Arabidopsis thaliana: one gene and its partners. The protein of the gene in region 1 interacts with the protein of each later gene in a biochemical or structural test. Each region holds a gene or a part of one and is shown in the gene's direction. Other genes may lie near its edges.

Region 1 (8,526 bases):
AAGTCATTCAACAAGGTACATGAATGACCATATACATTTCTTAAATTATGATTCAGACTCTATTCATGAGATCCAGAGGCAGTGATTAGAGTTTCGATCAGATTGATTGAATCTATGTCGAGATCAGTTCAAGGATTAGGTGAATTCGAGAGAAATTACCACATATGGATCCACCGAGTCGAATCCGAGAACTACATCCCCCAGTTTCCCTTCAAATAAGAAAAACAAAGACGATAATCAGAGGATTAGGATTTGGAGACAAAACAGAGATCATCATTGAAAGGAGGAAGAAGAGAACAAACCGTTCTTGTCGGGAACAGACAAAGAGGTGATGGTGGTGCCGTAGTTTGAGATCTTGACCTGCATGGTGCCATTGTTGAGCTCGAAGATCTCTGGAGTGTTTTTGCTCTGATCCGCCATTAGAGGGCTCGAAGACTAAATTAAAGGCTTTAAGATTAGAAGCGAAGTGATTGGGATTGAGATTTTTGATTGGGGAGAAACAAAACAGAGGGTGAAGTGATTAGCTTTGGTTAAAAGAGTTATAAAATCGTAATCTCGTAACTGATCAATGTTGACGTCATCCACATCCCAAACTATTTATCATTTTTACCCCCCAAACAAAAAACTATTTATCTTGGGGGTTTTTGTTTTTCGTTTTTTACACTTTAATGCATTTCTAAACTTTTTGAAAATCAAATTACTACCCAAAAGTTACCAAATTTACTTTCAGGAATTCAAAAGTTACCAACTAAAATCCAAAACTATAGAGATTAGAGAAAAGAACAAATGTAGAATTTGGATCTAATTTTCTAATTATCAATAATATTTTAAGTAAAAAAATATTTGATTAGTCAGTTATAAAATAAAAAATTTGATAAGTCGGATTATATGCTTTTGACAATAAGAGAAAGACAAAGATATCATCAGATAACAAGAAAATAAATAAAATATACTCTAAACATATTCAGTTTGACCCCAAAAAAAAACTCTATACATGATCGTAACAGAGTATTCGCGTGAATTTAGATGTAGTTTCTCTACCCTTTTTCAGGTATCCTATGAAAAAATCAATAGTACCTATAAAAGCTTACTTTGTTGTAATTTATCCTCTTTTCGTAAATTTTAATTTGCTACCATCCAACATGTCTCAGCTTTTACCCAAAGTTTACAAAAAAAATGTCTCTGTAAAGGATTTTGATTATTCCCATAACTAGAAACAATTAAATCAAATTTATCAAAAATATCAAAGCTCTCTGAGACATGGAAAGAAATAGTGTAACAGATGGCCAAGAGGACTTTAGCTTAAAGAAGCACAATCATTTCAAAAAGCAAATCATTTGTCACTTTCTTCTTCTTCACCTATCCATCCACAAAAACACTTTCCTTTTCCTCTCATCAAGAAACTCCCTAATCCGACGTCGTTCGTTTTAATTCAGTGACACAATCTCCCACATCTTCAAACCCTTTGAAACCAGCGATTACAGAGATGCAAGATCCTCATGTCCCATCTTCTCCAACTATCTCCTCCGTCTCTTCCTCCGATCTTGATACTGAGGTCAGTTCCTGCAATCTTATACTTAATAGATAATCTAATTAAAGATCAAGCTCTTCATGTGTTTTCTAAGCTACCCATAAAGCTTTATGCTATAAAGTATCAACCTTTAATTAGAAAACTAGTTTAAAGTTCCAAAGGTTATGTTTTCAGAACTGCCCAGAAACATATATATGTACTTGTTAGAACTTGATTTGGTTTTTTTATTGGTGATGTGAGGATTTAGTCAACAGGATCGTTCTTCCATGACAGAAGCATCACACTTGGAACGCTTATGGGATTTAGTTTCACTGCAACTATGCCGATGCCATTTAGAGCCTCTTCACGCCGCCACGTGTCACCTTCCGTCGCAATCTCACGAGCTTCTAGCTCCAATGCAAGACGCAACCACCAGAGAAAGCGTCCTCCTTCAAATTCGGCTGAGCCTGAGCCGCATCGCCGCCGTAAATGGTGGCGGTTTTGCCGAGATGACGATGACGACGCCGCCGGAAATGGAATCCACCGTGGAACAGGAGATTCAAAGCGGTCATCGCTCGGGGAGTATCTAGAGGTGGAACGGAGGTTTGGAGATGAAGCCGTTTACAACTCCGCCGAGGCAGAGCTAGAGGATGCGGTGGTGGCACGGTACCAAGATCAGCAGCCGGTGATGGGGGAGCGGGCATTGTTCGCTGACGGAAGGGTTCTTCCTCCGGCTTCAGCTGAAGTGGTTACCGGAGAAGGAACGCCGGTAGCCACGTCCCTTTGTAGATTTCCGGTATCTTTAACCGGTATATGCAGCGGTGGTGGAGGATGAATACGTCGGTTCATGTGTGTGTCTTTTATTTGTATTTAGACTTAAATTTTTGTATTTTGTTCGTCGAATCGGAATCATTGTTTGTGGAAAATATAACATGTTGAATGTAGTCATTGTCAAAGTAATTATTTGAGAAATAATAATGATTGATAAGGAGAATTATGAAGGAGATTAATTACAATGGCAATAGTAAAAGATAAGCATATAGAATGGCACACATGCACAGCTTTTGGTGTAAAATGGAGTTGTTCACTTGATTAGAGTTTTTATTTAAAATGCTAAACGTTGTTCTATCATATTGAGTTTTTGCTTCAAATTATTTCATCAATACGTCTTTATACTAGTCAGTCTTTGGACAATAATTTGACCAAATCAGATTTTGAGGCAAACACAATATGATTCTGGCCAGGAGTGTGCCACATTCGTGGTTAATTTTCCACTAGTATTTCTGAAAGTAAAACAATTAACCACAAATCATCCTCATAACATAAGAGGAGAAGATTCCTAACGACGAAGCAAAATTATCGAACAAGTGGACACACACAAGAAACCGAAAATACGGCAAAATGTTTGTTATGTGTATCCATATTTTATACCAATTGAATTAATAAAATAAACTGTAAAAACAAGAAACAATTAATAAAATTAATTTTTTGTTTTACAACGTGAATAAAAAACTGTTGACAAAACGAAAATAAAATAAACCCTCGAGTGATGTTAAAAAAAGGAAGAAGGAAAAAGAATAAAAACTCAAAGGGAACGCAACACACTAAACAAAAACTCTTTGGCGTCCTTCTCCTTAGGGTCTATCTCTCTTATCTTAAGCAGCAGCAGCAGCAGCTAGAACAAAAACGTCACCGATGGCGTCTCAAGCTGCGAATCTCTGGGTTCTTCTAGGTTTAGGTCTCGCTGGGATTCTTATGCTTACCAAAAAGCTGAAGAAGACCGTCCGTGAAGATTTCGGCGCTTTTATCGATAAACTCATGCTTCTTCCCCCTCCGCAACCTGCTCCTCCCAAAGCTCCTCATCCTCTCACCGGTCTAACCTTTGCCGTTTCCGACGTGTGAGTCTCCGTTGACTTGTTTCCCCCTTTCTTCTCCCATATGTTTATCATATCTATATTTGGGGGTTTAGCTGAATGATTTTTTCCTTGGGTAGAGTCAAAATTTTGTTTGACAAATGTTGGAATCTGCGTTGACTCGACTCGTAATCTTCTCCGGCGCACTACATGTCTGATTCTGAGCTTTCGAAAGTATGGTTGATTGATTTTGAGCCGTTTCACTGAAAATTGTGTTTGTTGTAGATTCAAATGTGTGTGTGTGTGTGTGTGTGTCTGCTAGTTTTGTCAAACTCATTTCAAATCGATACTTGTTGAATCTGTTCATTGGAAGGCTCTACTGTTTGATCTCTGTTGCTAGGTGTTTGTATGTTTTAGATTCGTCACCAAGTTTGACCTCGACTTATTCATGGAGTCCTACTTATAACTGTCTCAACATGTTGATTGACTATTTATCTAATCTGTGTATATCTCTCATTCTCTTCTATGATCTTTTGACTTTTGAAGTTCTTGAAAAGCTAATTTACTCTTTCTTTCCTTTTCATTTGTTTTCCAGATTCGATATTACAGGGTATGTGACTGGATTTGGTCATCCAGACTGGGTCAGGACCCATGAAGCTGCTTCGTCAACATCTCCTGTGGTTTCAACTCTCGTTGAAGGTGGAGCCACTTGTGTTGGAAAAACTGTAGTTGATGAGTTTGCGTTTAGGTTTGTCTCTGTTTCATAATGTTAAATTGTTACCTGTATCAGGATTCAGATTGTGATTCCAGTGTTGAAATTTTTATTTTATCAGGATGTTAGTATATTAATTCCTTTGTTTGGCTGTTTTCATTTTCTTCAGTATTAGTGGAGAAAACAAGCATTACGATTCACCTACAAATCCTGCAGCTCCTACTCGTATTCCTGGTGGCGCTTGCAGTGGAGCTGCTGTAGCCGTAGCAACAAATGCTGTGGATTTTGCTCTAGGTGAGTTCAGTAGCTACTTTTTTCCTTGTTTGGACAATTTGGTATGAGATAACCGTATCTTTGAGAAACAAAACATTGCATAAACTTTCAAAACATGGTCAATAATCTTCCTTAGAAAATTTCTGAAACGATTGATAATTTATTTATATTGCAGAAACTTATTTGGCATCTAATAGAATTGCTTGATTTAGACTCTTATGGCTATATGGTAAGATAGTTCCATGCGGATTTATAATTTATATGGTAGTCTGTCATTGGCTCCTCCTATCAGTATCTAAAATTTCAACTGTCTACTGGTTGGTTCGGTTTCAATTGTTTTCAGAGTATAGTTTTGATTACTTGCATCTTTGCAGGCATCGACACAGTTGGCGGGGTAAGAGTGCCTGCTGGATACTGTGGCGTTCTTGGATTCAAATCTTCTTATGGGGCTATTTCAAACACCGGAATCATACCAGTATCTTCAAGTCTTGACTCTGTTGGTATGGATATATAAATCTTTGAATTATACTGTTTGTGGTGGAATGATTTGGATCTTATATAGGCTAGGTTTCAATTGTTGTATAATCACATTGCAAGATTTAGATGCCTTTGTTCGTATGACTAATTTATATTTAGGACCATTAAATGAGCATTACGTTGATTCTGATCAATAGATTTTGGCTTCAGGATGGTTTGCCCGCGATCCAAACACCCTACGTCGTGTTGGCCATGTACTCTTGCAACTTCCATTTGCCACTCAACGGAATCCAAGGCAAATCATACTAGCTGATGACTGTTTTCAGCTGTTAAAGATCCCTGTGGATCGGATTACCCAGGTGGTGACCAAATCAGCTGAAAAGCTTTTTGGAAGTATGCCCTTTACTCTCCCTGAAGATCCTCCAGTCTCTGTTAGAAATTCTGATTATAATAGCATTATCTTGTTTTATATTTAGGACAATTGCTAAAGCATCAGAACTTGGAGACCTATTTTGAAACTAAAGTTCCTAGCTTGAAAGAGTTCGCTAGGACAAAAGCCATTGCTAACACGAAGGTCTCAACATCGAGACTACTGGCGAATGTGATGCAGCTCCTTCAAAGGTGTGCCTATTGTTTATTCACCTACAGAGGATGAAAATATCTTAGTTTTGAACACTCTATAACAATATTGGCATTGTAGGCACGAGTTCCTTCAAAATCATGGGGATTGGATCAACACAGTGAAGCCAGCCATTGATCCTGTGATTTTATCACAAGTGTGTGAGAACCCAGAACTAACCAATGAAGAGACTGAGAACCTGAATGCTATCAGAAACGAGACTCGAGTGGCTATTGGTTCACTTCTCAAGGTATTCCTGCTCTTCCATGACATGTCCACAACTTGAGCGAGTTAGTTTATATGTCTCTTGACTAATCTCTAATGGTTCCCAACTCTGTAACGTTATGTATCAAGGATGATGGCATTCTGGTAATTCCAACATTGCCAGCTGTTCCTCCAAAACTTGGTAGCAAGGAGATAACATCTGAAGACTATCAAAACCGAGCTTCAAGTCTGCTTAGCATTGCTAGCATATCAGGATGTTGTCAGGTTAAATCTCTCTCTTTCTCTCTCTCACCTGCCATGCTAGTAAAGTTCCCCTCACACATGTTAAAAGCAACCACTGACCAGTCAGTGTTAGCAAAACCAATCCACAGTATATGTGTCTTACATTTATCGTGCTGATGATTCAGGTGACTGTGCCACTCGGACATCATGAGAAATGCCCTATTTCAGTTTCTTTCATAGGAAGACACGGTGGTGACCGCTTTTTACTAGATACAGTGCAGACAATGTATCCATCTTTGCAAGAGTACTCGAGTATTGTTACCGATCCCAAATCTTCTAAAAAGGCTATCACCAAAGAAGAGTCAGCCGAGATTGCCAAAGAGAAGGTCAATTAATATCCATTGCATGTCTCATTTTCTTAATGGCATTATCATCCATAATCTAATGTGGTTATTATATCTTTGTGTCCCGTGATTATGTAAACCAGGGTAACCAAGCGTTCAAAGAGAAACTATGGCAGAAAGCTATTGGTCTATACTCAGAAGCTATAAAGCTAAGTGACAACAATGCTACCTATTACAGTAACAGAGCTGCTGCATATCTTGAACTTGGAGGGTAAATGTTTCTCAGATCCTTAAAAATACTTTTTAGTGAGCAAATCTTTCTATGTGGCATTGCCTTGACAAATCATTTACATACAGCTTTCTTCAAGCCGAAGAAGACTGTACCAAAGCCATCACCCTCGACAAGAAGGTAACTTTCATTAAAACACAGAAACAGGTTTCTCTTGAAAAAAAAACACTCTTTACTTTGTAAGAACACACAACACAAAGATCGTTTTTGATTTCTTTCAGAATGTTAAAGCCTATTTACGAAGAGGAACCGCAAGAGAAATGTTAGGCGATTGCAAGGGAGCCATAGAAGGTAAGCTTTAAAGAACATAATCTGATTGTTTTTTCGCCTTGTAGAATCTGGCAGAATATAACATAAACTCTGCAGATTTCAGATACGCACTTGTGCTGGAACCAAACAACAAACGAGCGTCTCTCTCAGCAGAGAGACTGAGAAAATTCCAGTGAGCTTCTTTTGTCCGTACCTCACCGATCATTGAGAAAACGTTTGTTCCTTAGAATTTGTCCAAGAGTATAGGCCAATTTTGTCAACACTTGTCTTTTGCGTCTGATATTTAGGCATTTTATCTAGAGATACCTTTTGCAAGTCCGCCGAGAATGGAAAATTATAATATCCGATGTTTATTTTAAACGTTCTCTAAAATTGGATATCAAAAAGTAATGTTAATCTTAAACACCGGATACCGGCATTCCCGGTCGACTTCTAGTCAGCGTAGCGTCAAAAATAAGGTCATGTCTTTAACTATCTTGTCTTTATCATTTTCTTTTCTCGCACGTTATCTCCTCCCCACGACTCAAAAAAAATAAACAGAAAAAAAGAGGAGTAGAAACCAAAGAGACCTGCCCTAATATTTAGCGATGATAGTTTGAACGGAACGAAATCTGACGAAAGAAACTAAAGAGACCTTTGAATTATCTTCACGGGTGAGTTGGTTCGTTTAACCTTTTTTCTTTATCTCGGTTGTGCTTTTCCCCGAGAATTAAACGTGTGTTGGTTGCAGCGTTAACAAAAAAAAAGGGTTGTAGAAAGTGAGTAAGGAAGAAATAATCAGGAACATTAATAAAGGAAATGACAACGGCGTGTCCGGCGAGGACAAGCTCACTAATGGACGATCTCTTGGGCCTCCTTAGAATCCGTATCAAACGTGGCGTCAATTTAGCCGTCCGTGACATCAGTAGCAGCGATCCTTACGTCGTCGTCAAGATGGGCAAACAGGTTAATCCATTCATCATTTTACAACTTCACATGCAATTTCATTACATCAAAAACATTCTCAAATTATCATATTAAATCTTACAGAAATTGAAGACTCGTGTCATTAACAAAGATGTTAATCCAGAATGGAATGAAGATTTGACTCTCTCCGTCACAGACTCCAATCTTACCGTCCTCTTGGTACTTTTTACTTACTAAAACATACATTAATTTCCTTATCATAAGATGTTTATATTGATAAAACTATAATGTTATATGTAGACGGTGTATGATCACGACATGTTTAGCAAAGACGACAAGATGGGCGATGCTGAGTTCGAGATAAAGCCCTATATTGAGGCTTTGAGGATGCAACTCGATGGACTTCCTAGTGGAACCATTGTGACCACGGTTAAGCCAAGTCGTCGTAACTGTCTAGCCGAGGAGTCACGTGTCACCTGGGTCGACGGCAAGCTCGTCCAGGATCTCGTTCTCAGATTGCGACATGTGGAATGCGGAGAGGTCGAGGCTCAGCTTCAATGGATTGACCTCCCTGGCTCCAAGGGTCTATGAATCTTTTTTCTTTTCTTATTTACCGTTACTTTGAGTTGTTTTCTTTCAAATTGAACTAAACCAAGTAACAGCATGGAAAAAAACAAGTAATTTCAATCTTGAAGGATATAGTGAACTAGAAACACGTATTAATCCATGGAAATATAAGGATTAAGAACGTTGAGGGAAGTTTTGTTCCCATATGGTGATCGAGTCCAAGTCGAGTCGTGGTGGTGGATATGTAAATGTGGTGTAT
Region 2 (6,910 bases), on another chromosome or scaffold:
CTTAGACAACTAGTTTCAAAGTCATAATTCTTGGTGTCTGAGTTGTCTTCCCTTTCCATCGAGTTTTTTAAAGATCGTGTCTTTTGGTTTCCAGTTCCAGACTACGTAGGCGACACTTCAGGGTTTCAAAGGCAATGGCACTAAAAGTCACTAATGGGCCTAACGACTTAATGGGCCTTGTGAAACGTTACCCAATAAGAGACCTGGTTTCTCACTGAGTTCAACCATCTTCTTCCCCATGGCTCTGAATTCTTCAGCTTTCTTCGTTCCATGTCACAATTACAATCAAATCTGTGATCTTCTTCTTTCTTCAGCTCGAACCAGATCAACTATTAAAGGACTTCAGCTTCATGGCTATGTCGTTAAATCAGGCCTTTCTCTTATCCCTCTCGTCGCTAACAACCTCATTAATTTCTACTCCAAATCACAGCTTCCGTTTGATTCTCGTCGAGCTTTTGAAGATAGCCCACAAAAAAGTTCGACGACTTGGAGTTCAATCATCTCTTGTTTTGCCCAGAACGAGCTTCCATGGATGTCACTCGAGTTTCTTAAAAAAATGATGGCGGGAAACCTTAGACCTGATGATCATGTTCTTCCATCAGCTACAAAGTCGTGTGCGATTTTGAGTCGTTGTGATATTGGTAGATCAGTTCATTGTCTATCGATGAAGACTGGGTATGATGCTGATGTGTTTGTGGGGAGTTCTTTGGTTGATATGTATGCGAAATGTGGAGAAATTGTTTATGCGAGGAAGATGTTCGACGAAATGCCTCAGAGAAATGTTGTTACTTGGAGTGGGATGATGTATGGGTATGCACAAATGGGTGAAAATGAGGAAGCTTTGTGGTTGTTTAAAGAAGCTTTGTTTGAGAATCTCGCTGTTAATGATTACTCGTTTTCGAGTGTTATTAGTGTTTGTGCAAATTCGACTCTACTTGAGTTAGGTAGACAGATTCATGGATTGAGTATTAAGTCTAGCTTTGATTCTTCTAGCTTTGTGGGAAGTTCTTTAGTCTCGTTGTATTCAAAGTGTGGTGTTCCTGAAGGAGCTTATCAAGTTTTTAACGAGGTGCCTGTGAAGAATCTCGGGATTTGGAACGCTATGCTCAAGGCGTATGCGCAACATTCACATACTCAAAAGGTTATTGAATTGTTCAAAAGGATGAAGCTTTCTGGAATGAAACCAAATTTCATAACTTTTTTGAATGTGCTCAATGCTTGTAGTCACGCGGGTCTAGTTGATGAAGGGAGATACTACTTTGATCAGATGAAAGAATCGAGGATTGAGCCGACGGATAAGCATTACGCTTCCTTGGTGGATATGTTAGGACGAGCTGGTAGATTACAAGAAGCACTTGAAGTTATCACTAATATGCCGATTGATCCCACGGAATCTGTATGGGGAGCTTTATTAACGAGTTGTACAGTCCACAAGAACACAGAGCTTGCAGCATTTGCAGCAGACAAGGTCTTCGAATTAGGACCAGTGAGTTCCGGTATGCACATTTCGTTATCCAATGCTTATGCAGCCGATGGTAGATTCGAAGACGCAGCTAAAGCTAGAAAATTGCTTCGAGACCGAGGGGAAAAGAAGGAAACAGGGCTAAGTTGGGTTGAAGAAAGGAACAAGGTTCATACATTTGCAGCTGGAGAAAGACGTCATGAGAAAAGCAAGGAGATATATGAGAAGCTGGCTGAGTTAGGGGAAGAGATGGAGAAAGCGGGTTACATTGCAGACACAAGCTATGTTCTGAGAGAAGTGGATGGTGACGAGAAGAATCAAACCATAAGGTATCATAGTGAGAGATTAGCTATTGCTTTTGGACTGATCACGTTTCCAGCTGATAGACCGATCCGAGTAATGAAGAATCTGCGTGTTTGCGGTGATTGCCATAACGCGATCAAGTTCATGTCCGTATGTACGAGACGAGTGATCATTGTGAGAGATAATAATCGGTTTCATCGGTTTGAAGATGGCAAGTGTTCTTGTAATGACTATTGGTGAAGAAGACAAATGAGAGTTGGTTTATATTTAACCATAATTTCATTCAGTTCACACTGAACCGGCGAAATTTCTTTGCCAGACCTATTCGGAATTGAAACAAGTGGAGTCTCGAAACGAAAAGAACTTTCTGGAATTCGTTTGCTCACAAAGCTAAAAACGGTTGATTTCATCGAAATACGGCGTCGTTTTCAAAGAACAATCCAGAAATCACTGGTTTTCCTTTATTTCAAAAGAAGAGACTAGAACTTTATTTCTCCTCTATAAAATCACTTTGTTTTTTCCTCTCTTCTTCATAAATCAACAAAACAATCACAAATCTCTCGAAACGCTCTCGAAGTTCCAAATTTTCTCTTAGCATTCTCTTTCGTTTCTCGTTTGCGTTGAATCAAAGTTCGTTGCGATGGCGGATGTTCAGATGGCTGATGCAGAGACTTTTGCTTTCCAAGCTGAGATTAACCAGCTTCTTAGCTTGATCATCAACACGTTCTACAGCAACAAAGAAATCTTCCTCCGTGAGCTCATCAGTAACTCTTCTGATGTAAGTTTCCCTTCAAATCTCTCTCTGCTCGGTGTGACTCGTCCGCTTCCTATTTTCTTGCATGTTGTTTGTTCTTTAATTCCTGGATTCGTTGATAGCGTTGGATTCGTAGGTTTAGCGTTGTGATTGCTTATTCAAATAAATCGTGATTTGGCTTGTGCATCACGTTAAGTTTAGAATTCTTAGCTTGTGCTCGATCTTCATGTGTTGTAGTTACATATATAGAACGGTTCTTGCTTCGATGTAGTCTTTGATTTACCCTAGAGGATTGAGGAAAGCTTCTGATTATCTTTGTTTATATGAATGGTTTTGTAGGCTCTTGACAAGATCCGATTTGAGAGCTTAACGGATAAGAGCAAGCTCGATGGACAGCCTGAACTCTTCATTAGATTGGTTCCTGACAAGTCTAATAAGACGCTCTCAATTATTGACAGTGGTATTGGCATGACCAAAGCAGGTAACGAATCAATGCCTAATAATCTCTCGTTGGTGAGATGTTTTAGTGTATGTGCTGTGGTTATGACTCTCTATTATTTTTTCAGATTTGGTGAACAACTTGGGAACCATTGCGAGGTCTGGAACAAAAGAGTTTATGGAGGCGCTTCAAGCTGGAGCTGATGTAAGCATGATAGGACAATTTGGTGTTGGTTTCTACTCTGCTTATCTTGTTGCAGAGAAGGTTGTTGTCACTACAAAGCACAATGATGATGAACAATACGTTTGGGAGTCTCAAGCTGGTGGTTCCTTCACTGTCACTAGGGATGTGGATGGGGAACCACTTGGTAGAGGAACTAAGATCACCCTCTTCCTTAAGGACGATCAGGTAAGGAATCGTAGCTTTGAGTGTTTTGGGGATTGTTTCTTTTCTTTTGGTGTTTTCTGTGTTCTTACAAGTGTGTTTATTCATGCAGCTTGAATACTTGGAGGAGAGGAGACTCAAAGACTTGGTGAAGAAGCACTCTGAGTTCATCAGTTACCCTATCTACCTTTGGACCGAGAAAACCACCGAGAAGGAGATCAGTGACGATGAGGATGAAGATGAACCAAAGAAAGAAAACGAAGGTGAGGTTGAAGAAGTTGATGAGGAGAAGGAGAAAGATGGTAAAAAGAAGAAGAAAATCAAGGAAGTCTCTCACGAGTGGGAACTCATCAACAAGCAGAAACCGATCTGGTTGAGGAAGCCAGAAGAGATCACTAAGGAAGAGTATGCTGCTTTCTACAAGAGCTTGACCAATGACTGGGAAGATCACTTAGCCGTGAAACACTTCTCAGTGGAGGGTCAGCTAGAATTCAAGGCCATTCTCTTTGTACCAAAGAGAGCTCCGTTTGATCTCTTTGACACGAGGAAGAAGTTGAACAACATCAAGCTTTATGTCAGGAGGGTGTTCATTATGGACAACTGTGAAGAGCTAATCCCAGAGTACCTCAGCTTTGTGAAAGGTGTTGTTGACTCTGATGACTTGCCACTCAACATCTCTCGTGAGACGCTTCAACAGAACAAGATCCTTAAGGTGATCAGGAAGAATCTAGTGAAGAAGTGCATTGAGATGTTCAACGAGATTGCTGAGAACAAAGAGGACTACACCAAATTCTATGAGGCTTTCTCCAAGAATCTCAAATTGGGTATCCATGAAGACAGTCAGAACAGGGGAAAGATTGCTGATCTTCTACGGTACCACTCCACAAAGAGTGGTGATGAAATGACGAGCTTCAAAGATTACGTCACAAGGATGAAGGAAGGTCAAAAGGACATTTTCTACATCACTGGTGAAAGCAAAAAGGCGGTGGAGAATTCTCCCTTCTTGGAGAGGCTGAAGAAGAGAGGATACGAGGTACTTTACATGGTGGATGCGATTGACGAATACGCTGTTGGACAATTGAAGGAGTATGACGGTAAGAAACTTGTTTCTGCGACTAAAGAAGGCCTCAAACTTGAAGATGAGACCGAAGAAGAGAAGAAAAAGAGGGAAGAGAAGAAGAAGTCCTTCGAGAATCTGTGCAAGACGATTAAGGAAATTCTCGGGGACAAGGTTGAGAAGGTTGTGGTCTCAGACAGGATTGTGGACTCTCCCTGCTGTCTAGTAACTGGTGAATATGGATGGACTGCAAATATGGAGAGGATTATGAAGGCACAGGCGTTGAGAGATAGCAGCATGAGTGGTTACATGTCGAGCAAGAAAACAATGGAGATCAACCCCGACAACGGTATAATGGAGGAGCTCAGGAAGAGAGCTGAAGCAGACAAGAATGACAAGTCTGTTAAAGATCTTGTCATGTTGCTGTATGAGACAGCTTTGTTGACGTCTGGATTCAGTCTTGATGAACCGAACACTTTTGCTGCTAGGATTCACAGGATGTTGAAGTTGGGTCTGAGTATTGATGAGGATGAGAACGTTGAGGAAGATGGTGATATGCCTGAGTTGGAGGAGGACGCTGCTGAAGAGAGCAAGATGGAGGAAGTCGACTAAGAGATGAAGAAATTGCTCTTATGGTTCTGAAAACTTCTAATATGTCGAGTTGTTCTGAGTTTTAAGATTTTCCAAAATGTCTTTGTCTTTTTTTTTATATCTTTAGAGTTACTTGAACATTGTGACTACTTCTAGGGTTGGGTTTGTGTCAGGTCTGTTATATCGTGTGGTGGGTCTGTCTAATACTGATTCAAGTTTTTGTTATTCAGCTAAGGAACTTTTCTTGTTTCTGAACAAATCTTTTGGTTCCCTAGAGTAAAACTTGACTTCCAAAAGATAGACTTCCTAAGATCACTGGAATAGATAGGAGTGACAACTTGACGTGAAAGGTAGCTTGGCTATAGTAATTTTAGATCTGACAAAACGAGATCAAGAAGTTAATAATTTTCACAACACCAATTTGTTATCGCTTAAAGGTTGATTGATTTGTTCAATAGGGGGAATCATATTCTCGCATGCTCGAAAAGGGGAGAGAAGATGGAATGAACATAACTTTAAATCGGATGTTTGATTCAACAACAAAACTAAACTCAGATAGAGATTATGAAGGATTCCGGAATCTGAATTACAAAAGCAAAATTTAAAGCTGAAAACTCCTCCATGGTCTTACTGTCACCTAAAGACATTTCTTTTTCAAGGCAAACCTGAACCAGATGGTGCAGCTGCGCTGTAGCCACCAGCACCACGGCCAAAACCACGGCCACTTCCCTGATAAACAAGAAAGGATGTTAGAACAATGGCAACCAAACAAAGAGAAGGCGGGTAAATCAAATCACAAGGCAATTATATAACTATAGACTTTGAAACACTTCACAGCTAAAGTAAAAGATTTATGTTCCTTGTAACTAAAGTGATAAAGAGAGACTAAATATGTTCATGGTTTCTCAGGTTCAGGAGCTCTATGATAAAGACTTCAAGAGTAGCACATTATATGACGTTGGTGAGATAGAGAAGTAAATAGAAGGTATGGTCAGTGAGAATTTACTTGGAAAGATGGCTGGTAATCTGCGGGAGCTCCACCCTTTTCACCTCCAAACTCACCACCAGCTCGAGGACCTGCACGGTACCCATCACGGTCACCAAACCTGGGACGGTCTCCTCCTTCATGGCGAGGTCCTCTGAAATACAAAGAAACCCAAACCATGTCAAACAAATTAAAAAAAAAAAAAGTTTTTGCCAGACATGAAATGGGTTAAGCAAAGAGTTAATCACCTTGAGCGATCACCAGGTGGGCCACCAAATGGACGACCACCAGGCTTAGCTGACTTCTTCAAAGTAGCAGGAACAACATCAGATGGAAGATTAAGATAAGTTCTCAAGAACTCGATCCCTTCATTGGTCAAAAACCAATAGTAATGCATCCAGGCAAATGTCTCCCTAACATACTCCTTGGATTTGAAACTCTGCATAAGCTTAATCACTTGTAGGTTGGGGACATCGATCAACGGATGCTTAGCAAGATTGAAATCCTTCTTCGCAAAGCAAACTCCTTCTGCAAAAATCATAGAACATATGATAATCAACACAATGTTCACCTTCTAAGCCAAACATCATAATTGCTACCATAACTAGTTAACCTAAACTAGTTCAAAAATCACAATGTTCATCGGCATAAGCCTAAAAATGAATCAATTTACTCACAGAAGCTGAAGAAAACAGAGATCTAAGAACAAATTTAAGAAGAACGAACCTTTGAAGAGGTACTTGCAGATTTCTTTGCGGTTAGCCTCTGAGATAATCTGAGAGCAAGAAGGAAGAAGAAAATGGTCAAAATTCAACGAAACAACATTCTGAGACACCGGAGAATATGATGAGAATAGAGAAATAGATCAAAAGCAGAGCTTGTGTGTTACCATTGTATCGGTAGGAGATCTTGCTCGAGCAGAGAGTCGCACGGAA
Region 3 (7,245 bases), on another chromosome or scaffold:
GGTTATGTAGCCTATAACTAAGTTATTAGTATGACTAATATGGCTAATAAAATACATGAAGCAGCTCCAAATCATATTGTTAAGCATCTCAGACAACACAGCTTACATATTCTTTACAATAATAAATAATTTATTGTTCGACATAATACTGTTGTTACTGTTTGACTTAGCGTTAATTTTCTGCACAAATGTTGTTACTACTTTGATTAAAAAGGATAATTTGTGTAACAATTTTTTGGTCAGTTTTAAAGGTTATTATTATTTTTTTAAATAACTTTTACGATTAGAATATGAGTAGTGCAACGCAAAATAACACTGCCGTTTAAGACGACGGTCCCTTGACAGAATCTTCATCAACGCTCGATTTGACGTCTGCCGATTTCCTTAGCTCCGACGTAAACCACTGATCGTCGGTATTCAGCTATATTTTGATTTCTCAGCTCCAAAAATTCCCAACGAAATGGAGAAAATGGCCAAAGGATGGTTTCCGATGAGCGGCACTAGTAGCAGCGGAGATCAGCAGCAGCAACCGCTGCAAACAGGAGGAACGTCTCTGCTAGCTGATTGGAATTCTTACGCAGCATCGAGAGATTTTGAAGAAGACACCGGAACTTTAGGCTTCGATATCGAATCCGCCGTTAGATCTGCCAACGACACTGTTTCCGGCACCTTTAATGTGTAATCCATCCATCTCTTTCTCTTAATCTTTAGGGGTTTAACGATTGATCGTGACCGTATCTGAGAAATTAGGCGTTTTCGCCTGCTATTGAGGATTGGATTGGTGTAAATTAAATCTGGAATCTGAGAAATTGTGATTAACCATATAGTTTAAGCTTTGCCAGATTCGTTGATCAGATTTACAAATTCTCAGGGTTTGAAGCTATTGTTAGTGAATGATTTTGATTAGTGTCTTCTCTCAATGACTTAGAATTGATTAAGAGTCTTAAGCATATCTTTTTCTTGAAGTGTTACTAACTTTTTGATTTTGAATTTTGTTGTACTCAAATCTGGATTGTTAACAGTGTTTCGAAAGGAGTTAGAGATAACCTGCAGTCTGCAACAAGTAGTATGCCTTCAGGAAAAGCTTTGATGTATTTCGGTTTACTTCTAGCAAGTGGTGTATTCTTCATCTTCATTGCCTTCACCATGTTTCTTCCAGTCATGGTGCTTATGCCACAGAAGTTTGCAATTTGTTTTACCCTTGGATGTGGATTTATCATCGGATCTTTCTTCGCTCTTCGTGGCCCGCAAAATCAACTCGCTCACATGTCATCGGCAGAGGTAATAACTAATAACAAAACCTTGTGTTGTGCAGCTTCTTATATCTGCTGTATTTCGTTTACATTTTTCTCTTTGGAATTTTAATTTCTTGTTTGCTGGCTTCTCCAGAGGCTTCCACTAACTTTAGGTTTCATTGCCACCATGGTTGGCACCATATATGTCTCGATGGTGCTCCATAGCTACATTCTCTCTGTGATTTTCTCTGCATTACAGGTACTTAAATTTCATCTTCCTTCCCGACTCTTGTTGGTGTTTATATCCTCTGTTTTTCATATGTTAAAATTTTCCTCTTCCCCATTTCACAAATCTTACCTATGAAGTTCTTTTTTACCCTGCATGTTTCATCTAGTAAGCTCTTGCCTCGTCGAAACATAATGTGTTTAGTAAAAAACATGTAGACTTTCTTATTGCTGTTTTAAAATACAAGTTGGGTTAGTATGAATTATGAAGAAGCCTTGAACGCCATATCTTTGGTTGGTCTCTTGGCTTGTTTTTGCAAATGCACTTACTTGCGACAGAAACAGCTTTGATATATTATTACTCACCCGTTATCGATATGGAATATATACTTTAAGAACTCACTAAATCATATCCTTCATGTCGGTTTAAAGATTAGTCACGTATCTGCACATTCTGTAAGTATAGTAATCTCATAAAAAACCTGGTCTCTGTTCTCTGTGAATCCATAGGTTATTGCACTGGCGTACTACTGTATATCATATTTCCCTGGTGGATCATCGGGAATGAAGTTCCTCAGTTCTACTCTTACCTCCTCTGTCTTCCGAATGTTTGGGAGATGAGCTTTCGCTTTGACCTATGCAAAGAAAATAACTTGATTCTCTCGTGTATAAAGAAAGATGAAAGATCTTCAACAGTGGTTAAATGACAAATCTGGTAAAATATGTTGGTCCAATGGCTCAAAGACAGTTTTGTTATAAATTTCCTATATTGATACTTTCTGCTAAATTGGTTCAAAACTTCAAATCACTAGCCACTGGATGAGGTATGGAACTTGAAGAGTTGCTTGGTGGATACATTCTCTAATCTAGGGTAAGTCGTTAGCTTCAATGTCTTACTGTGAATTATTACATCAGAATTAAGAAAGTTATTACACGTATGTTTTCACTGAGTTTACTACACTGGCAATGTGGCATACATCTCTTACTGCAAATTGCAGACAAGTGGTCAATCAAATCTTTTTTAGTTGGGCCCAAAATGTCTGTTATTGGATACGTTGGGCCTTAAAATGGCCCCCATCAGTCAAAAACATCACTGCTTGGAGAAGGATCTAGAAAAACTTGCAAGTTAGTTCAAACAAAATAAAGGAAAAAGAACGATCTAGAAGAAAGAAAAAAAAAGGAAAAGAAACCCTTATGGAGGTTCCCACACCACTCTATATATAATAACATCCTTCTCCTAAATCCCGCATCAGTACTTCTCTCTGCTCTCAAGATAATTTTGTTCTCTCAATTTCATTCTTAAACCCTAGTTCTTCGATTTTTTCCGATCTACGACAATGGCGGACGCTGAAACCTTTGCTTTCCAAGCTGAGATCAACCAGTTGCTTTCCCTCATCATCAATACCTTTTACTCTAACAAGGAGATCTTCCTCCGTGAACTCATCAGTAACTCTTCTGATGTACGATCTCTATCTCTCTCTACCTTATTGTATACTTGTGTATCTCGTTTGATTGATTTGGCGGATGGATCTGTAGATTTAGGTTTGGTTAGGGTTTAGTGTTCTTTCCGTTGGGAGAATTTTGGTTACTTACTGAAGTTGCGAAGCTTTTTGTGTACAAATCTATTGTTTAGGTTTAGTGTTGATACCAAGGATTTAAGTAGTTTCTTGTTAGATTACCAAGTTTTCGATTGCTTATAGTTGATTTGCATACATATTATGTGTATTGTTTGCTTACGATTGTGATTCTATTCTGGTGAAAACAGGCTTTGGACAAGATTAGATTCGAGTCCTTGACGGACAAGAGCAAGCTCGATGGTCAGCCTGAGCTCTTCATTCACATCATTCCCGACAAGACTAACAACACCTTGACCATTATTGATAGTGGTATTGGCATGACCAAGGCTGGTACGTAATTGATTTCATCCTAAATCAATTTGTTTCGATTTTGTTGTTGTTTGTTAGTCTTGCATCTGTGTTTGTTTTGTTGGCTAATTCGTGCTTCTTCTATTAGATTTGGTCAACAACCTTGGAACAATTGCAAGATCTGGAACCAAGGAATTCATGGAAGCACTGGCTGCTGGAGCTGATGTTAGCATGATTGGTCAGTTTGGTGTTGGTTTCTACTCTGCTTACTTGGTTGCTGACAAGGTTGTTGTTACTACCAAGCACAATGACGATGAGCAGTACGTGTGGGAGTCTCAGGCCGGGGGATCTTTCACTGTGACCAGAGACACCTCTGGGGAGACTCTTGGTAGAGGAACAAAGATGGTTCTTTACCTCAAGGAAGACCAGTTGGAGTACCTTGAGGAGCGAAGGCTTAAGGATTTGGTGAAGAAGCACTCTGAGTTCATCAGCTACCCAATCTCTCTCTGGATTGAGAAGACCATTGAGAAGGAGATCTCTGATGATGAAGAGGAGGAAGAGAAGAAGGATGAGGAAGGCAAGGTTGAGGAAGTTGATGAGGAGAAAGAAAAGGAGGAGAAGAAAAAGAAGAAGATTAAGGAGGTTTCTCATGAGTGGGATTTGGTGAACAAGCAGAAGCCTATCTGGATGAGGAAGCCAGAGGAGATCAACAAGGAGGAGTACGCTGCTTTCTACAAGAGTCTCAGCAATGATTGGGAGGAGCATTTGGCTGTGAAGCATTTCTCTGTTGAAGGACAGCTTGAGTTCAAAGCTATCCTCTTTGTTCCCAAGAGAGCTCCTTTTGATCTCTTTGACACTAAGAAGAAGCCCAACAACATCAAGCTCTATGTCCGTCGTGTCTTCATCATGGACAACTGTGAAGACATCATCCCTGAGTACCTCGGATTTGTGAAAGGTATTGTCGACTCTGAAGATCTTCCTCTCAACATCTCGAGAGAGACATTGCAGCAGAACAAGATCCTCAAGGTCATCCGCAAGAACCTTGTGAAGAAGTGCCTTGAGCTCTTCTTTGAGATTGCTGAGAACAAGGAAGACTACAACAAGTTCTACGAGGCTTTCTCTAAGAACCTGAAGCTCGGTATCCATGAGGACTCCCAAAACAGAACCAAGATTGCTGAGTTGCTCCGTTACCACTCAACCAAGAGCGGTGATGAATTGACTAGTCTCAAGGACTACGTGACAAGGATGAAGGAAGGTCAGAACGATATCTTCTACATCACTGGTGAGAGCAAGAAGGCTGTTGAGAACTCTCCATTCCTTGAGAAGCTCAAGAAGAAAGGTATTGAAGTTCTCTACATGGTTGATGCGATTGATGAGTACGCTATTGGTCAGCTTAAGGAATTCGAGGGAAAGAAACTTGTTTCTGCAACCAAGGAAGGTCTGAAACTGGATGAGACCGAAGATGAAAAGAAGAAGAAAGAAGAGCTCAAGGAGAAGTTTGAAGGACTCTGCAAAGTGATCAAAGACGTTTTGGGTGACAAGGTCGAGAAGGTTATTGTTTCTGACCGTGTTGTGGACTCACCGTGCTGTCTTGTAACCGGCGAATACGGCTGGACTGCAAACATGGAGAGGATCATGAAAGCTCAAGCCTTGAGAGACAGCAGCATGGCTGGTTACATGTCGAGTAAGAAGACAATGGAGATTAATCCAGAGAACTCCATCATGGATGAGTTGAGAAAGCGAGCTGACGCAGACAAGAACGACAAGTCTGTGAAGGACCTTGTGCTTCTCCTCTTTGAGACCGCTCTTCTCACTTCTGGTTTCAGCCTTGATGAGCCAAACACTTTCGGAAGCAGGATCCACAGGATGCTGAAGCTTGGACTGAGCATTGATGACGATGATGCTGTTGAAGCCGATGCTGAGATGCCTCCCCTTGAAGACGATGCTGATGCCGAAGGTAGCAAGATGGAGGAAGTCGACTAATTTATCACACAAAAGTCGACTAAATTATTAGCGGTGTTATAAGACTATGGTTTTCTTTTTTTCTTTTCGTTAAAACTTATGTTATTTTGGTGATTATCTTCACGAATTTTTTCTATGGTTTTATTGTTGTGAAGATATTTCTCTGAACTCGGTTTTATGACAAAGATTCTATTATGCTCAAGAGACTGATTCTTACATATCCAAGCTGAATTTTGTCAGGGTATTAGTAGTAACCTAGTTATGATTATATCTTCCTAATTAGAATTTAGAATAACAAATTATAAGAAAATAGAATAACACAGAGATCATATCTTCTGGCATACATATCTTGCTGTGAATTATATTGCATCCGAATTAGAAAAGTTGCCACAGTTAAATTGAAATGTTTTCACTAAAAAAAAAAAAAACTACGCTGCCAATTGCCAATCTCTTGCTGCAAAGTGCAAACAAATGGTCAATCAAATTTTTAGATGGGCCCAAAATGTCCGTTGTTGAATACTTTGGGCCTTAAAATCGACCCATCAGTCAAAAAGACTCGTCAATATTAGAGACTGGCTTTTTTGATACAAAAGATCACCCAATAATGCAAGATTAAGCCTAAATTTATTATTTTGTCCCAAAAAAAAAAAGCCTTAATTTATTAATGTAATCAAAATTAATTAAGGGAAACCCCACACTGCTTTTGCTCTCAAAATTTGACCGTTAGTGGAGACTTATTATATAATACCACGAACTTGGCGTTAGTGCAAGTGAAACTCTTTAGTCTTTAGTTAAAACTTAAAAGCAAAGGCTATGTTAGGTTAAGACAACGGAGCCTATTGATTAACTTATGTAATTTCTTTTCAATAGTCGTATTTTCCTCTCTTTTTTTTTTCTTTTTTTTTTGGCACCTTCCTATTTTCTTACCAAATTATTATTGTTCAGTATTTTGTATATAGGAGTAAACTGAGTGATTACCATGATTTCAGCTAATATTTAACGATTATACTCACCTAATTTACAGTTAGCTAAACTGAACTTTCTAAAGCATCATATATACCCAAGCATGTATTCATATTTGGGAAAATTTTAGACTAGCAATATACTCATTCAGAATTCATATAAAGTTAATTTGAGGCATTTGATGTAAACAATTATTGATGTACTTTATTTTATTTTTAGACTTTAATTAGAGTTTAACTAATGTGAGCGAGAAACCCGAGTCCTGGAAATACGGAAGAATATTTGACCCTTTAATTTACACCTTTCATCACACGTAATATCATCCATTTTATATTATGATCCACAAACAGCAAAGGCCCATTAATCTCATTATATTTTAGATTAATTGATTGCAATTGCCCAACTTCTCCACTCAGCAATGTTAGTTTTAAAGACACATCAAGTTAGTGTATTTTATTTTTAATCTTTCTATAAAAAACAACACTTTGTTTTTGTCTATTTCTTATTCTGTGAAAAAGAGAAATGAAAAAGTAAAAAAGATAACAAAAAGGCTGGTTTTTCACGGTGAGAATTTTTCATGGTCACGCAATAACTTAAATATGAACTATTAAAATAACTAAGATTGAAAAATTAGCATGATCAAAAGAAGAAGAAAAAAAAGACAACATGAAGCGGAAAGGAAAAAAAAGAAAGCTGAAAATCTAATTAACAAGATTGCGGAAAAGGATTAAAGGACGAAGAAAAAGAGTGAAAGGTGAATACATATATAAACTCATATTATATATTTCCAAAACATATTTTTTTGACCAAGAGTTAAATGGTGTGCCTCTTTTAATTTTTAAAACTTAAAAGTAACAAAGTTAACTCTCTAGTCAGTTTAGTTAAGACTAGGGATGTTTTCATGAAATTGAGTTTCAACTGAGTTATGTGTTTTCTTTTAACATATATTTCTCTTATTACATCCTATATAGTTCTCACTTTAGATTGTTGGTTTT

The links. Proteins that work in one complex are often made in the same cells at the same time.
Region 2: the proteins of TOC64-III (region 1) and HSP90.1 form a complex in vitro, tested with the Arabidopsis thaliana proteins (one study listed by BioGRID).
Region 3: the proteins of TOC64-III (region 1) and HSP81-2 form a complex in vitro, tested with the Arabidopsis thaliana proteins (2 studies listed by BioGRID).

Annotation. Positions count from the first base shown.
Region 1 is NC_003074.8:6,144,825-6,153,350, forward strand, and holds TOC64-III (translocon at the outer membrane of chloroplasts 64-III), read left to right. Parts: upstream 1-3,081; 5' UTR 3,082-3,205; coding exon 3,206-3,408; intron 3,409-3,958; coding exon 3,959-4,111; intron 4,112-4,244; coding exon 4,245-4,369; intron 4,370-4,722; coding exon 4,723-4,848; intron 4,849-5,035; coding exon 5,036-5,218; intron 5,219-5,301; coding exon 5,302-5,446; intron 5,447-5,525; coding exon 5,526-5,694; intron 5,695-5,798; coding exon 5,799-5,933; intron 5,934-6,076; coding exon 6,077-6,277; intron 6,278-6,378; coding exon 6,379-6,506; intron 6,507-6,592; coding exon 6,593-6,644; coding exon of another isoform or gene 6,645-6,707; exon of another isoform or gene 6,708-6,745; coding exon 6,746-6,815; intron 6,816-6,890; coding exon 6,891-6,970; 3' UTR 6,971-7,258; downstream 7,259-8,526. Other genes in the region: AT3G17940 (Galactose mutarotase-like superfamily protein), read right to left, coding at 160-209, 303-420; AT3G17950 (uncharacterized protein), read left to right, coding at 1,487-1,555, 1,779-2,345; C2 (Calcium-dependent lipid-binding (CaLB domain) family protein), read left to right, coding at 7,593-7,739, 7,824-7,919, 8,001-8,291. UniProt on the Arabidopsis thaliana protein: Chaperone receptor mediating Hsp90-dependent protein targeting to chloroplasts. Bi-functional preprotein receptor acting on both sides of the membrane. Not essential for an efficient import of pre-proteins into plastids.
Region 2 is NC_003076.8:21,350,137-21,357,046, forward strand, and holds HSP90.1 (heat shock-like protein), read left to right. Parts: upstream 1-2,420; coding exon 2,421-2,543; intron 2,544-2,858; coding exon 2,859-3,000; intron 3,001-3,085; coding exon 3,086-3,366; intron 3,367-3,454; coding exon 3,455-5,011; downstream 5,012-6,910. Other genes in the region: MEF1 (mitochondrial RNAediting factor 1), read left to right, coding at 239-2,005; AT5G52650 (RNA binding Plectin/S10 domain-containing protein), read right to left, coding at 5,645-5,719, 5,997-6,129, 6,224-6,503, 6,702-6,750, 6,865-6,867. UniProt on the Arabidopsis thaliana protein: Functions as a holding molecular chaperone (holdase) which stabilizes unfolding protein intermediates and rapidly releases them in an active form once stress has abated.
Region 3 is NC_003076.8:22,684,126-22,691,370, forward strand, and holds HSP81-2 (heat shock protein 81-2), read left to right. Parts: upstream 1-2,706; 5' UTR 2,707-2,797; coding exon 2,798-3,007; intron 3,008-3,225; coding exon 3,226-3,367; intron 3,368-3,473; coding exon 3,474-5,308; 3' UTR 5,309-5,346; downstream 5,347-7,245. Other genes in the region: AT5G56020 (Got1/Sft2-like vescicle transport protein family), read left to right, coding at 461-678, 1,023-1,281, 1,390-1,494, 1,971-2,081. UniProt on the Arabidopsis thaliana protein: Molecular chaperone. Involved in RPM1-mediated resistance. Component of the RPM1/RAR1/SGT1 complex. May stabilize RPM1 and protect it from SGT1-mediated degradation. Associates with RAR1 which may function as co-chaperone. Possesses ATPase activity.